Bombyx mori: one gene and its partners. The protein of the gene in region 1 binds, or shares a complex with, the protein of each later gene. Links are inferred from orthologs where the notes say so. Each region holds a gene or a part of one and is shown in the gene's direction. Other genes may lie near its edges.

Region 1 (3,896 bases):
TGTTTGTTCATTAAAAAATGACACCAATTAGTAAAAAATCGACCATATGGGAATATTATGAGATTTGTAGTGAAAATAATAAACAAAAATCATGATTAGAGTTTTTTACCAAACGTGATTTGAGACATGCCCGTCATTTTTCGGTATTCGGTATTCGGCCGAATAGTACCTATTATTCGGTCGAATACCGAATACCAAACAAAGTGGCCGAATAGGCCGAATACAGAATAGTAGCCGAATATTCGTGGCATGTCTAATATAAGCCATCTTTTCAATTCCGCTGAGGATAAAAGCTAGAACTGTATGTAATAGGGATGAATGACCTTGGCTCCGGTAGTGAGTGGTGCGTTAGTGAAATACAATCATAATTCTAGCATTACCAGTGATGACTAGTAATACCACTTGATCAGTGACGTCGGGTACTGATTTAGTTTTAAATTAGATTTAGTTAAAATATAAACAATTCTAACAAAAAAAAGACATTTTTAATATTTATTAATTTATTTTAACCACAACTATCACTATAGTTTAATGTTGTTGCAGGATTATGTGCGTCGTCTGCTATACTACTGTATCCGAATTTACGTAACTCCACACCGCTACAGCGAAACGCGAGCCTTCAAGAAAGTTCGCCGAGCAAAAGCAAGCCTTTGTCTCTCTTCCAGCCAACTGATCCATTTAGAAAGTTCAAACTGAATTCGTCACCCTTACGTAATTCCAAAACGTCGAGTCCAATTAATCCACCGAGTGAACTAACTCCGACTTCCTCAGAGAGCATTGACACGTCCTCAAGACAATCGGAGACCGACAACGGTGACACGGAATCCTTAGCTTCGTCCAGCGATATTGAATACCAAAGCCCCAAATCCTATTTAAGCACAGAACTACCGTCGATACCGCGCCAACCGCCATCGCAGATCACTAACCAATATTTGTTGAATGGAGAAGAAATCGCGGAAAAGTATCGCAAGGCGATAATCCACTACAGCAAGTACCAGAACGCCGGTATCATTGAAACCGAGGCTTGCTTTAAGGCAGCCCGGATAGCGGTTGAGCAGAATAATAGTTTACACGCGTCCAGCTTTCTGCAGAACGTGATATTCATTAACTTGACGCTGAGCGAACAGGAGAAGATACAACGATTTGACACGTTAGCCGAACTTTATAAAGATATTGGTAAGTATTATTTATTCGGCTAGAAGAGTTCTTTTTTTATTTTTTTATTGCTTAGATGAGTGGACGAGCTCACAGCCCACCTGGTGTAAAATGGTTACTGGAGCCCATAGACATCTACAACGTAAATGCGCCACTCACCTTGAGATATAAGATCTAAGGTCTCAAGTATAGTTACAACGGCTGCCCCGCCCTTCAAATCGAAACGCATTACTGCTTCACGGATTCATCAGCAAAAAACAATTATAATTATAATGAATATATTTTGATATTAACTTTTTAGTTTCACTTCATCAATACTGTTGTTGTTTATTAAAGCTAAAACATGAATTCTCCATTTATGGTAAAATTATTAAAATTTTAAGAAATTACCGTTGCTTACCTTATCTATAAAGCATATATGGCGTTGTTAGTTTCTTAAATTACACCATGGTTCTAAAACATGATTTATGTAAATGAACTTCCAAGCGACTACCTAAGTTCACGCGGTTGACGTCACGGGCAAAGCTGGTAATTAATATATCAATAAATAATGACATTTATAACGGAACCAAATATCCGAACGTGCGATACCGTCCCCGTCGCCGCCTTACCCCCCGCTGAGACAGAGCTCTCGGAGCGCGAAAACACACGCCCTCATCGCGCGCAACGACGACCGGCAAAATATTGTTAGTCTTAGTTTATCTGTACTGTTTTCAACTCATTTTGTATTTTATTTTAATTTAGTTATTGTGTCGCTTTTATATTAAAACCTCATACAAATCAGTGTCAACATTATTTCCATATTATTAGCATCTTCGCCAACAGCCCGGAATACCGAACTCACAAAAGCCCCGCCAGTCGGACTTTTAGAGTTAAACATTAAATTTAGTAATTTTGTTGATAAAATTTGTAGAGATAATATTTTTTTAGGTTTCCTCCGTAAAGCAGCATTTTGCCAACGATTGGCGGCGACGAGACAGGTTAGTCCGAATAACCCGAATCCAGATTGGCAACGGTGCTACTATCTCATGCTGCACAGCTTCCCAGGACACAAACTTAGCTTAGATCCCAATTACGTTGTACAACACCAAGTTGGTAAGTATTTCGCACAGATGTTATTATTTTTCATTTCAATGATCCCTTACAGCAGATAGATTTCTTGATAACTAGCCTAGAATACTAAAAAACTAGCGAACTTTAATAGCAGACTTCTTTAAGTACGTTTATAAAACGGATAAAAAGCGAATATAAAATAAGAATAATTTCGAATTTATATTCGAAGGGACTTTTAAATTAATAACTTTTAACTTATTTAACTTATTAAAAAATTAATAACGTTGTCTCATTCGCTTCTCTCTTATCTCATTTCGTTTGATATCATACTTCATAAAACAATAAAGGAAGAAATTATAAGACTTGGCTTAAAGGTCATGTTACCAGGTCCTAAAATCTTTATAAAAAAAATCTAAATTTCTGTGAAACATATATCACTTATAATTTAATTGTGTTACGCAAGGCTGGCCAGCGCTTCAGATTCAGTTACTACAAGAACTAGTTGTGGCCGCCCGTAGGATGGGTCACCCGGCTCTTGCGACAAGGCACATGACGTTTTTACTTCAAACGATGTGGCCTCATCTGACCAAGCAGGAACACCGAGATCTGGCCATACAATTGCAGGTATCTATCGGATCGTTCAAGTACTAACCGATCGTTCCTTGCATCCTCTAATAATTTTATAAACCCAGCCATCGAAGGAACTATGCAAGACCATTTGATAATTATCTTAACACGTGTTTGAAGTCTAAAAATTATTACCAATTTGGATACTAATTAAATACTATTGTATAATTATATAAATTGATATAGAAAAAAAAACTTGTAACTTGTAACAAATGAAAACGTTCTGAAGATATACAAAATTGATAAGTTAGTGTTGCTAGAATTACAAAGTTTTTGTTCGTTTCCTTCAAGGCTTTATCAGCGCAATGCGAAGGGGGTCCGGTTCCTCTCGTGCTGGAAACAGGCGAGGTAATTCCACCAGCGAACCTCAGTCACGTACCGAACTGTTCTTGGTTCACACCCAGGCCGTTACCTCCGGCGAGGGCTCCGCATCTTGTTAAATCGAAGGCCCACCACGGACCTTTCATATTTACACCGATACACTTCGGCAGCTTGGAGAGGAACGCTAAGAAACAAGAAGGGAAAATGGGTGAGTTCTCGATAATTATTAAAATTTTATTTTGCTTATTAGCGACGACAATTGGACGAATTGGTTTAAGTGTTTACCGAGGCCTAGCCAGATGACTTCCATCAACTAAGTTACCTTTTCGAACTTTTGTGAATGGACTATTAGCAGCTTAAAGTAGTACCAATTTTTACAAGGAAACATAGGAATTCTTTACATGTTACATACTTAAGTAATGTTTACAAATGACTTCCACAACTAAGGAATACCATCGTCTTAAAAAAATTATCTTAATTGGCTAAATTACTGGTTACAGGGGCTTAGGGGACATATATATCCATGATCTTGCCTATTTCTGCCACGAAGAACTTATAAGTTCCACTTTGTACGACTGCTGTTAGGTAATAAAGATTCACGTTGTAATGTCCGTGGGCTCCGACGGCCATCTAATTTCAGGTGGGCCTACAAGGATGATCTGTTCCAAGTAAAGGAAAAGAAATTGAGTACTGCGTGGCTGTTTCATTCTTGTGCAAACATCTAAGGCTATGGAAATACG
Region 2 (2,870 bases), on another chromosome or scaffold:
AAAATATCACATGTTAAACCTTTAAAACACTCTCCTGTAAAATTTAGTAAGTTTTGAGATTATACTGTTTTAATGCGAGAAGACGATATATGTGGGAAACGGAACGTTTAGAGTGAAAGGGATGAATGTATGAGGAAGAAAGGGACGGAAGAGAGAAGTTCAAGATGGCGATCGGGCATTAGAGGTATGAACGTTTTACGACGTGTGCTAATTTATGAAATTTTGCTACTTTTCCAAAAGACTGTTATTTACTTAATCTCACATAATATATGGTCACGTAATTGTTTTTTCTAAAAAAAAAATATTTTTTATTGCATAGAGATGTGATCAAGCTCACAGTCCTCATGCTGTAAAGCGGTTACAGGAACCCATAAACATAGCATCTCTGACCACCCGGAACATATCATCATCATCATGCTTTCCTATTACCCTCTGCTGGGGTGTAGGGCTCGAATCAAATTTTTCCATTTGTATCGGTCTTGGGCAGTCTGTTCTAACTCCTCCCACGTCATGCCCGGAACATATAGACAAACACTAATTGTACTTTACTTTCTGTTGTTATTTATTGGTTCGCGCGGGTAGGTACGTCCACGCTGCCTATCTCTGCCGCGAAGCCGACGTGCGTTCCGATTTGATATTAAGACTGACCGTCTCGTCATGTTTTTTTATTTATTGATTAGATGGGTAGACGAGCTCACAGCTCACCTGGTGTTAAGTGGTTAATGGAGGCCATAGACATCTTGAGATATAAGTTCTAAGGTCTCAGTATAGTTGCAACGGCTGCTCCGCCCTTCAAACCGAAATCACTGCTTCACGGCAGAAATAGGCGGGGTGGTGGTACCTAGCCGCACGGACTCGCAAGAGGTCCTATCACCAGTAATTGATGTGTATGGACTCTCCGGGGTGGCGGGGTCACGCTGATGGTGGGTTGCGATGTCTGCAGATGTCCGACGCCCGACGTGCGCGAGTACGTGGACCTCGGGCTGGTGGCGATGGCTCAGGGGAAGTACGAAGACGCCTACAACGACTTCGTGAGGGCGGCCGACCAGGAACCCACGAACATTATGGTGCGGCTCGTTCTTAAACTCTACCGTTCGTGAGCACCCGTGAACATGTTACTTGAGTGATTGCTTCACTGTTGCCACACTGTAGTAGTCCTTGCATTCCCGATCCTGCGGACAGAATGGAAAGCAGTCGACGTCGCCCAAAACACGTCGTTTCGGATCCTCCCGATCTACTAACGGTGCTTTTAGGTACCTCAACCTAGTAAATTAACCCACAGACACAGCCCACTGAGTTTCTCGCCGGATCTTCTCAGTGGGTCGCGTTTCCGATCCGGTGGTAGATTCTGCGAAGCACGGCTCTTGCTAGGGTTCGTGTTAGCAACGTCATCAGGTTTGAGCCCCGTGAGCTCACCTACTAGTTAAGGTTACGCTGAAATAGCCTCTCAAGGTTATCTATCAGCTTGGGTAGGGAAAAAAAGAATGCATGTACTTATGTACGCGCGTAAGAAGTTATACTTTATTTTTATTAATGTTTTTTTTTATTTATATTTTAATAAAATTGAAAAAAAAGTCGATGAAACAACATCCTCAAACACGCATATGGGACATCACTTTTCTTGACATCGTATAAATTCGGTAATTCTCGGTACGGTTTGGAAAGTTCACCTGCGGCTATATTCAGACTCGCCAAGTTACGTCGGTCGTATTGTAATGAGCGATTTAGTGGGCGACTTCATTTCGGTTAATTTTGTGTCACGGTGCGCGCGCATCGTAAAATTTCACTCTCATCAATTTTTCATAACGCGCCTAAAGAAGTATAACTTCAAAAAACAAAATGATATATATGTACTTTACATTTGTGATCCCAGGTCGCGAACAACATCTCCGTGTGCCTGTTGTACATGGGTCGCCTGAAGGAGGCCATATCGGTGCTGCAGAAGGCGATAAAGAGTGACCCGGAACGCGGCCTCAACGAGAGCCTCCTCGTCAACCTGTGCACGCTTTACGAACTGGAGTCGTCCAAGACGAACGAGAAAAAGCTCAATCTGTTGCGGATGCTGTGCAAGTACAAGAGCGACACGATACCGAACGTTCTCGAATGTCTGAAGCTCGCGTAGGCTCTGCGGCTAGCAGTGAACACGTAAGCTCAACTAAAGACTTCGTCAAACAGGTGGCTTGGCTCGATAGGCAACGGCTTGGCTTTGTCCCTGGTATTTCTGAAGTCCATGGGCGACGGTAACCACTCACCATCAGGTGGGCCGTATGCTCGTCTGCCTACAAGGGCAATAAATACAAAATGAAAAAAAATTATACACATTCACTAGGACTCTAAAATGAAATTTGAAAAAAATTACAACGCCTAACGTCAAAGCGCCCTAACGCCGCGACATAGCGTTGCGTACTTACAGCGCTGGCGCTCTTTTTTTTTTTATAAGGGATTTTATGGCCCGGTAACTAAGACCTTTAAGTCATATCTTATTTTAATTTATATTCACATATTTTTATGAAAAATGATATTATGCAGTGTAATGAAATGAAGAAGCGCTGGCGCTCTGTATGACAGTTTGTTACCATAATAGTACAACACATCTCGGCGTCATAGCGTGGCGTCAGTTTAGCGTTCTGACGCGCGCTAAGTACGCGTTCTGTTTGACGAAGCCTTTATTCATAGCGTTAAAGCGAATAGTGATGAGCTAGAAACGGGATGATGTTCCGCTGAGTGAGACGTCATATGTGTGCCACGGTCAATTCGATATATGAGTCGTCTATTATCAAAGGTGGCAATCTGTGCATTTGGACAAAAAAATGTTATTGATATATCAATACAGATTGATTTGAATATAATCGTCTCCTTCAAAGAATACG
Region 3 (4,656 bases), on another chromosome or scaffold:
GGACAATACGGTGGCAGACGCCATGTCCCGCATCGAAGCTGTTAGTTTTGAAACTGACCATTCTGCTCTCTCCGCTTGCCAAAAACTTGACGACGAATTGAAAAAGTATCGTAACGATGCGAATTCTTCTCTAAAACTAGAGAACGTCGTAGTTCCTGGCACAAACACTGTTTTGGTCTGCGACATGTCAACAGGGCGACCACGCCCATTTGTATCGGAACCTATGCGAAAGAAGATTTTTGCTCAGCTACATAATCTTAGCCATCCTGGTACTAGATCAACCATTCGATTGATCTCAGACCGTTTCGTGTGGCCTGGCATTGCCAAAGATTGCCGTTATTGGTGCCAAACCTGCGTTGCTTGCCAGCGAAGTAAGGTGACGCGGCATATAAAATCTCCACTTGGACACTTCTCCAGTCCTACGTCTCGACTGAAGCATGTCCATATTGACATCATAGGCCCTCTTCCATCTTGTTCTGACTTCCAATACTGCCTGACTGCTGTGGATCGCTACACTCGATGGCCCGAAGTTTGGCCTATGCACGGAATAACAGCAGAAGAAGTGGCGAGCACCTTTGTAGCCGGTTGGATTGCTCGATTCGGAGTACCTGCTGTCATCACTACCGACCAGGGACGACAGTTCGAGTCGGACCTTTTCAGACGCCTTACTAATTTATGTGGTACTAAACGTATACGCACTACTAGTTACCACCCTTGTGCCAATGGGCTCGTGGAGCGCATGCATAGACAATTAAAGGCCTCTCTGATGTGTTATGATGATTCGTGGTTGAATGCATTACCTTTGGTCTTATTAGGAATGCGTTCAGCTTTTAAAGAAGATCTACAAGCAACAGTAGCGGAATTGCTTTACGGAGAAACATTAACGCTTCCAGGGGAACTGTTAGTACCTCCCGGTCCTTCTGGTTTCGAGGACCCGACGGATTTTGTCGTAAAGTTAAGACAGCGTATGTCTAAATTGCGTCCCACTCCATGTTCCTCACACACTAAACCATCACCTTTCATATTTAAAAATCTTTCCACCGCCTCTCATGTCATGCTCAGGGAGGATTCGGTTAGACGTTCAATGCAACCACCTTACTCTGGTCCTCATAGAGTTATATCTAGAGCCGAGGACGGAAAAACGTGGTCGATTGATGTAAAAGGGAAACAGGTGACGGTCAGTGTCGACAGAATTAAGCCAGCTTTCGTCGAGCATTCTTTAGTAGATCTCGTTCCAGCCCCAGCACCGCGGGTTTCTGTGCCTCAACCAGCGCAACCGGATGCTACTAATGTCCCTTCATGTCCACTCGTGCCTTCGGCACCTCTAACTGCTACTCCTACACATACACCTCAATATACCACCCGGTCAGGTCGCAGAGTCCACTTCTCCAAACCTTTCGACCTATGATAATTTTTCTCTTTTTCTGCGGATTCTCCTTCTCCGTAGGGGGGTGGTGTGGCGTTTTATTATGCGTAAGCCGGAACGCACGAGATGTGGGAAAAAGGAGATAGTCTGTGCCACAATACCTTTTTTACCGCCAAATATGAAAAACATAAAAATAATTTATAATGAGTTAAATAACTAATTTAATGTAATTACTTTATGCCGCTACAACAATAAAATTAATATTGTTCCAACTGTGGTGTTAATTACATAAAACACAACCAGGCGAAATAAAGAAGGGACTCTATATGAGCTCCCTCAGGTACATTTTTTTCTATGGCTACTGCTATTTACGACTTACATACTAAATCTTTCTAAAACGTCAGACGTCAAAGCAAAGCTTTCAATTTTACTTTTGACATTACTCCCTGACGTTTTACGTTAAAAATTTGTGAAACGAATGATGGGGGTGTCACTGTCGTGTAGAAGAATCTGAATTTGTGTTCACCGTGATATTTGAGATGTTTAAAATAGTATTTAGAAGTTAAAGTGTGCTATACTACTGCATGATTAAGCTCATATAAAATGGCTACCCAGCCTAATGATTATACCGAATTCCCTACGGAGATCATTCTGAAACCTCTGGCTCTGATAGGACTATCTGGACTTGATGCAGTTAACAATGCCGTTCACAAAGAAATCTGGGACGCATTCGCGAATAACCGACGCGCTGATCGCACGCCTGTGAGATTCAAATTACTTAACAATACGTTTGAGTTTCCAGTGGTAAAGCCTAAGAGAAATTCATACGAATGGTACATACCTAAAGGCATACTAAAAAAAAACTGGATACACAAGCGTGTATCGCTAATACCCGCTGTCATAGTCATTTTCTATGATATGGATTGGAATGATACACAGTGGAATGAGAAAATTATAGAATGTGCATCCAAAGTCCAGTCTATCCGTGCTGCAGTAGAGGGACATGCTACTCGTGTGGCTGTAGTAGTCATACAAAGTCGGCAATCTCCTCCTCCTTCTGAGTACATGCTTGGAGCCGAGCGTGCCCAGGCACTTTGTGCTGCTTGTGAGATCCAGTCTAAATCCTTGTTTGTGCTTCCTCATGGTGATCACTTAATGGGTTATATAGTCCGGTTAGAAAATGCATTTTATGATATTGCACAAAATTATTACCACCATGAAGCAAAAAACATTAAGCAGCACAGAGACCACCTCAATAAAACAACACATCAGTATCTCTTTGTCAGACATCAGTTCAAACTGGGCTATCTGAATGAGTTGAAGCAGGACATCAATACTGCACATAAGCATTATGTTCATGCTTACAACAACCTGCTGGAAACAAGAACAGTAGATACAAACCTGCATGAAGTTAGAACAGTTGCTGGCTATATTAACTACAAACTGTGCAAGATACTTTTTGCATTAAATTTGCCAAGAGATGCAATTTCACAATTAAAATCTCACATTGAGAAATACAAAAGTAGAGTTGGTTCTACTGACCTACTGTTTGAACATTATGCGTGGCTAGCTAGACAGTACAGTGCCTTTGGAGAACTTTTTGATGAAGCTATCAGGGCTGGTCTGCCAGCCATTCAATCTCAGCATCCTGGGTTTTACTACCAGCATGCAGCTCAGTTTACTGTAAAAAGAAGACAGGCTATGCGCTCTCTTTGTGCTGAAGCATTACAGTATCCACCTGCTCCAGATCCTTTAGATGGTATTCTAGAATATTATGGTCAGCGACCTTGGAGACCTGGTCGTTTAAGTGCAGATCCTCATGACCCTCAAAAAGAACAGGCAGCTATCTTAGCTCTACAATACAATGAAAGGATATTCAATCATTCTACAATCATCATCAGCTTCCTTGGCAGTGCTATCTCACAGTTTAAGTCATTTCACTCTCCTAGAATGAGGAAGCAACTAGTAGTTGAAATGGCAAATGAATATTTTTATTCTGCTGACTATGGGAAAGCACTAACTTTGCTGACTCACATGTTGTGGGATTACAGGAGAGAAAAATGGTGGTATTTAGCTTCACATGTCTTGAACAGAGCTCTGCAGTGTGCATACCTTGCAGCAAAAATACAAGACTATTTACAGCTGTCAATTGAAGCACTCTCTAAAAATATCCAGGTGCCAAACAATGATAAAGATAGGATATTCAGAAATATAATGTCTGTTATACATTTAAACATTCCAGCTCCTGAACCCGACCTGCCATCCTCTTCTCAAAGCAAAGCTGTGGAATTGTGGCAGTCCATGATCGAAAAAGAGCCTTTGCAGGTTGCTGTGGATATGGCCAACATCTCCAGTTTTTTGGAAATCAAACCTAAATTCAAACAGATGAAATATAGAATGGATGAGTTAATTGAAGTGGAACTGTATGTTAGGCTAACATATCCAGCTGTCCTAGAAGTAAAGAAGGTGTATTTGACAATATCAAGTCAATCTGAGACTATTGAGATCCCAGTAACTGATGATATTAATCAGACCATAACATTAGAAGGGAGCAAAGTGAAAAGGTTTTTGTGTCAGTTCAAACCTAATCCCAAGGATGTTGGATCAGATTTACAGATAAAATGTGTATCTTTTGTTCTTGATTCTGAAAGGAAAAGAAAAATTATATTGAATTTTAAAACTGATGACAAGAAGTCAGAGTCAATTATACATCCAGAATTGTTACACTTCATCATGAGCCCTAAATCTGACTATGAATTTGATTGCATTGTGCCTTTGAGAGTAGCTTCAGTAACATCAAGAGAGTGTAAATGGTCCATTGAAGTTACAAATTGTAGTCCTGCTCTACAGGGAGAATGGTTTCCAACCACTTTCACAGTAACAAACAATGAGGAAATTGCTGTATCTAGTACAAAGATAGCATTATCTTTATTAAGTTCACCTGAAAATCCTAACCCTGAGTCAGTAACAGATTTAAGTTTGAAGGAAGGTGAAGCTCAGTTACAACCTTTACATATTTCTGTGGGCAATGTTAACAGATCAGGAACTCACACTAATACATTCTACTTAAAAACAAACAGAACAGCCACAATAACAGTTCAAATTAGAATATCATACATCATAGACCTTCCTGCAATCAAGAAACTAGAGTGCATGAAAGATTTTACATGTAAAATAACTGTCATCAAACCTTTTGAAGTAACCAGTGCATTTGTTAGTACAGACTTTAGTCCTATTTCTAAATGCTTTGTTGATGACCCCTTTATTGTCATGCCACAAATTAAAATTTT
Region 4 (4,458 bases), on another chromosome or scaffold:
GGGAACCGAAGTCCCTCCGCAGACCCAGAAGCTCCAAACGATCCGTAAGGATGGGATTATCGACAATCCGAACGGCCCTCTTCCGGAGTTCTCCACTGCAGACACAAGTTTTGATCGTCTCTCTTGCACCACGTTCCGAGAGAGACTCTGATGGCCGATATATCGCGCATCCTCCGTGCTGTCATCCGCATAGCAATGCATGCCATCAATAGACAGCATGTCATTGATATACAGGATGAAAAGCGTGGGGGAGAGCACCGAACCTTGTGGAACGCCAGCGTTAATGGTCATGGTATCAGAGCAGTCACCATCTAGAACGACCGTGATGCTCCGCCCATCCAAAAAGCTAGCGATTCACTTGCAGAGTCCCTCGGGGATTCCGTAAGATGGTAGCTTCGACAGTAGTGCCCTATGCCAGACCCTGTCGGAGGCCTTCGCGATATCAAGGCTCACAGCAAGATCCTCGCCCTTGCTCTCCAAGGCTTCAGCCCACCTGTGAGTAAGGTATACAAGAAGATCGCCAGCTGAGCGACCGTGACGGAAACCGTACTGTCGGTCACTGATCAGCTGGTGATCTTAAAGATACTTCAGGAGTTGTGTATTTATTATTCGCTGCATCATCTTGGAAAGCAAGGAAGTTATCGCGATAGGCCTATAGCTCGATGGGTCCGACCGGTTACCCTTTTTGGGGATAGGGTGGACGTGGGCGGTCTTCCATGAAGACGGAACCCTGTTAGTGCAATAAGAGAGGCGATACAAACGCGTTAGCGTAGGTGTCAGCTCAGGGGCACACGTTTTCAGAACCACTGCGGGGATGCCTGCCGTCTGGCCCACTCGACTTATGGACGTCCAGGAGTCTGACGCCTGACTGCACACTGTGTGAAGCAGATCTCCGGCAGGGAGCTATCACACCGGGGGATGTTCGGTGGTGTGGCACCCTCGTCGTCCACGGTCGAGTTCAAGCCGAAGAGTTTGACCAGAAGGTCAGCCTTCTCTTTCGTACTGTGAGCCAGTATCATCGGTCTTGCGCAACGGTGGGAGACTAGACCTGCAAAAGTTTCCTTCTGCAGCTTTGGCGAGCGACCAAAAAGCACGGCTCCCGGAGGGATAGCTGTTTAGTCGCTCGCCAACTCTAGCTACGTGCTCCGACTTCGCTCTGGCAATAACCTTCTTGTAGGACCTGGAAGCGGCGATAAATTTCCGCCTTTCCCCCGAGATGTTAGGATCCCGACGTCTTCTGGCATCATCCCATGCCACGTATGCGGACCGCTGGAGGTGTGCAGCATCCCTGTTGGCATACTGAGATTATATTTCGTCCCATATCATTTCATTTAATTTCATCCCAGTTGATTAATGTCTCAAATTCTTCATTTCATTTCACTCCATATTATCATTTATCATAAAAATATCCCATATCATATCATCTCATCTCATCTCATTTCAATTCATTTCATTTCATGCAATGCCATATTTCATATTAAATTAATCAGCTTCATTTCATTTCATGTCATACTTCATAAAAAAAAGATCAGGCTGTATGGAGAGATGTCCTTGCCTTTCTGTTTGGAAAAATAAAACTACTACTACATAGCATATTTACAAAATACAAAGTGATTTTTAATAACTTATTATATATTTGAAAGTGTTTTCAAAATAACATGTACATATTCAGTTAACTGTACATATTTATATTAAGCTATACTTCATTTATTCAGCACCCGCAAAAAAAACATTATCAAAAATGGCTAGAACTGGAAAAACAGCCCAAGAATTTATTCAGAGTTCGTTTTCGCCTATAGTTGCAGTACTATGCAGTCAAAAGGTTGAAAATATTGTGTCGAAAAATAATGTAACGTTTCCTGAATTATTACAACCATTTTGCAATTTGGATTGGGAAGGTAAACAAATCTTGAATACCTTCAAGTAAAACAACATCAGAACGCTAGTCTTTATTATCTGCCAATAATCTATCTTTCATACAGCTGCTTAAAATATGGGATACTAAAGTATTACTGCTTAAAAGCAGGGATACATTTTTTCATTATTTATTTTATATTTATAAAGAACACAACCATCACATGTAGAATTCAATTACATTAATTGAATAAATATATTTCTGAAAATACTGAGCCAGCCTTTGGTTCCACACAATCCATGCCATTCTATTAGACTCTTTCATATGAAATTGACTATCTCAATTTTGACTTCTACTATATTTTATAAATTATTAAAGATATTTAATTTCTCCCCTCAAATGGTTCCCTACCAAAGAAAAATTAAAGTATTGCAGTATTGTAGTAATGGCATTCTAGTATAAAATTTAATGATGAAATTTGTTGGTACAATAGTCAAATGGTAAGTTAATATCTTAAGAAACAATATAATATGGAATAGATTTACCTTCAATAAATCATAAAATTTAATTAAGAAAAACTGCATTACTCTTGCTAAATAAATATTGTAAGTAGTGAAGAAGTCAATCACACCTTTTATTTATATATACTAATATAATAGAATGGAGCATCGCCATTATAAAACATGATTTTTTTTATTTGTTCAGGTCAGTTCCGTGAACCTGGTGGCAATACTTGTGTCATAAAAAATATGAAGCTAATTGTGAGAGATGTGAACTGGAAACCCCTACAGCCTACTGAGGCTAGAAGACAGCTCAATAATGCTGTTCTTTATAATTACAATGACAAAACTATATCTGTTGAATTAGGTGAGCATTTAAATGTGAATTTTTTTATTGCTTAGATGTGTGGACGAGCTCACAGCCCACATGGTGTTAAGTGGTTACTGGAGCCCATATACATCTACAAGTTAAATGCGCCACACACCTTGAGATATAAGTTCTAAGGTCTCCGAATAGTTACAACGGCAGCCCCACCCTTTAAACCGAAACGCATTACTGCTTCACGGCAGAATAGGCAGGGTGGTGGTACCTACCCGTGCGGACTCACAAGAGGACTCACAAAACGAGCCAGCAAACTCTAAGCAGCTTCCTATCGTTTTGTTCTTTCCTTAAATGATATGAATTCTGTATATAAAGCCAACATCCTTTCTGGTTTGAAGGGTAAATCACCCATTGCATCAATGCAGCAAGGACTGATTTTGAATGTCAAAAGGATAATTCACCTTGTGGAACTTACAAACCGTGGAAACTTCTAAACAGTAGTTAGTTTACCAAAAATAAATAAACCATGCAATTCTAAAAAATACCTACATATTTATGTGTATATAAGTATCAAAATGCAATTTAATTTTAAAATCAATATTTTAAGTAGATTTTATAGTATTTGTCTATGGGTGATGAATTATGCTTAGTTTAGCAATTGAAGAGTGTTTTGATTTTGTTGAAAAACATTAAAATAACAATGAAAAATAATATTTTTTTAACACATATTTTAGCTGGTCGAAGTTTTTTAATACCCCAATCAACACATTGGTTTGATGCTTGGAGGGAAACATACCTAGATGTGCAATTTCCATCTGACCATGAATTCACAAAACATTTCCTGTCATGTATTATTGTGGGAACAACTGATGACGAAAATGTTGTGGACACTTTCAATGGCCTGAATCAACAATATGCCCAACTACAGAATGTAATGCCACCAAAATTGCCTAAATGGTTCAACAATTGTATTCTGAAAACATATTTACTACTTCATGATGTATCTGTTGTTTCAAAAGAAAGGTATGTTCTTTATTTCCGTCAATAATATAGATGGTCAGATGAGAGTGCGGCTCAACTGATGTTAGGTTCTTACTGAAATCCACCACAATGTGAATTCCGCCGCTGGAATGTGACATAGGTGTTTCGGTAGGCAGCGGCTTGGCTCTGCCCCTGGCATTGCTGAAGTCCATGGGCGACGGTAACCACTCACCATCAGCCGTATGCCCGTCTGCCTACAAAAGCAATAAAAAAAAAAACATAATATCGAAAATTATTTAAGTTAATGCCATTGTATTTTATTTATGTTAAAGGGCTGATGCTGTGTTTGACACGTTGAAACATGCTTTTGGACCTAATAGTTGTTTTATGCTTCCCATTAATTCTAAAAGTACGTCAGATGCTAATGTACCTGCAGATTTATGGAGCCAGTATATTAAGAGATCTCCAGATTCCACCGTATGTAAATTTTTCTATGACAGAATGAAACTAATTAAAATTTTTGGTAGGCAGTGACATGGGTTTTCCCCTGGGATTGCTAACGTCCATAAGCCACAGTAACCACTCATCATCAGATGGGCTGTCTGGCCGTTTGCCTATCAGGGCAATAAAAACATAATTAAATTACTATTTATCTAGATTAAAATAAAGTGTCCAAATAAATGAGAATTAGGTGTGACAAAATTATAATATTCAAAAAGAAACGTGGTAAATGCAAATATAAATTATAAATTTGAATTAAATGCAAAGACAATATAGCTTCTTAATACTATAACAAAAAT

Evidence for each region.
Region 2: protein brunelleschi (region 1) and trafficking protein particle complex subunit 12 share a complex: the UniProt entries of both Homo sapiens proteins name them as parts of the multisubunit TRAPP (transport protein particle) complex. The link is inferred for Bombyx mori from reciprocal best matches to the Homo sapiens genes TRAPPC9 and TRAPPC12.
Region 3: protein brunelleschi (region 1) and trafficking protein particle complex subunit 11 share a complex: the UniProt entries of both Homo sapiens proteins name them as parts of the multisubunit TRAPP (transport protein particle) complex. The link is inferred for Bombyx mori from reciprocal best matches to the Homo sapiens genes TRAPPC9 and TRAPPC11.
Region 4: protein brunelleschi (region 1) and trafficking protein particle complex subunit 8 share a complex: the UniProt entries of both Homo sapiens proteins name them as parts of the multisubunit TRAPP (transport protein particle) complex. The link is inferred for Bombyx mori from reciprocal best matches to the Homo sapiens genes TRAPPC9 and TRAPPC8.

The regions. Positions count from the first base shown.
Region 1 is NC_085109.1:9,240,779-9,244,674, reverse strand, and holds part of protein brunelleschi, read left to right. Parts: intron 1-543; coding exon 544-1,176; intron 1,177-2,085; coding exon 2,086-2,250; intron 2,251-2,671; coding exon 2,672-2,832; intron 2,833-3,126; coding exon 3,127-3,364; intron 3,365-3,896. UniProt on the Homo sapiens protein: Functions as an activator of NF-kappa-B through increased phosphorylation of the IKK complex. May function in neuronal cells differentiation. May play a role in vesicular transport from endoplasmic reticulum to Golgi.
Region 2 is NC_085126.1:10,491,162-10,494,031, reverse strand, and holds part of trafficking protein particle complex subunit 12, read left to right. Parts: intron 1-943; coding exon 944-1,067; intron 1,068-1,873; coding exon 1,874-2,122; 3' UTR 2,123-2,870. UniProt on the Homo sapiens protein: Component of the TRAPP complex, which is involved in endoplasmic reticulum to Golgi apparatus trafficking at a very early stage.
Region 3 is NC_085125.1:14,659,975-14,664,630, forward strand, and holds the start of trafficking protein particle complex subunit 11, read left to right. Parts: upstream 1-1,780; 5' UTR 1,781-1,969; coding exon 1,970-4,656. UniProt on the Homo sapiens protein: Involved in endoplasmic reticulum to Golgi apparatus trafficking at a very early stage.
Region 4 is NC_085111.1:9,714,516-9,718,973, forward strand, and holds the start of trafficking protein particle complex subunit 8, read left to right. Parts: upstream 1-1,557; 5' UTR 1,558-1,741; coding exon 1,742-1,898; intron 1,899-2,560; coding exon 2,561-2,722; intron 2,723-3,411; coding exon 3,412-3,700; intron 3,701-3,990; coding exon 3,991-4,135; intron 4,136-4,458. UniProt on the Homo sapiens protein: Plays a role in endoplasmic reticulum to Golgi apparatus trafficking at a very early stage. Maintains together with TBC1D14 the cycling pool of ATG9 required for initiation of autophagy. Involved in collagen secretion.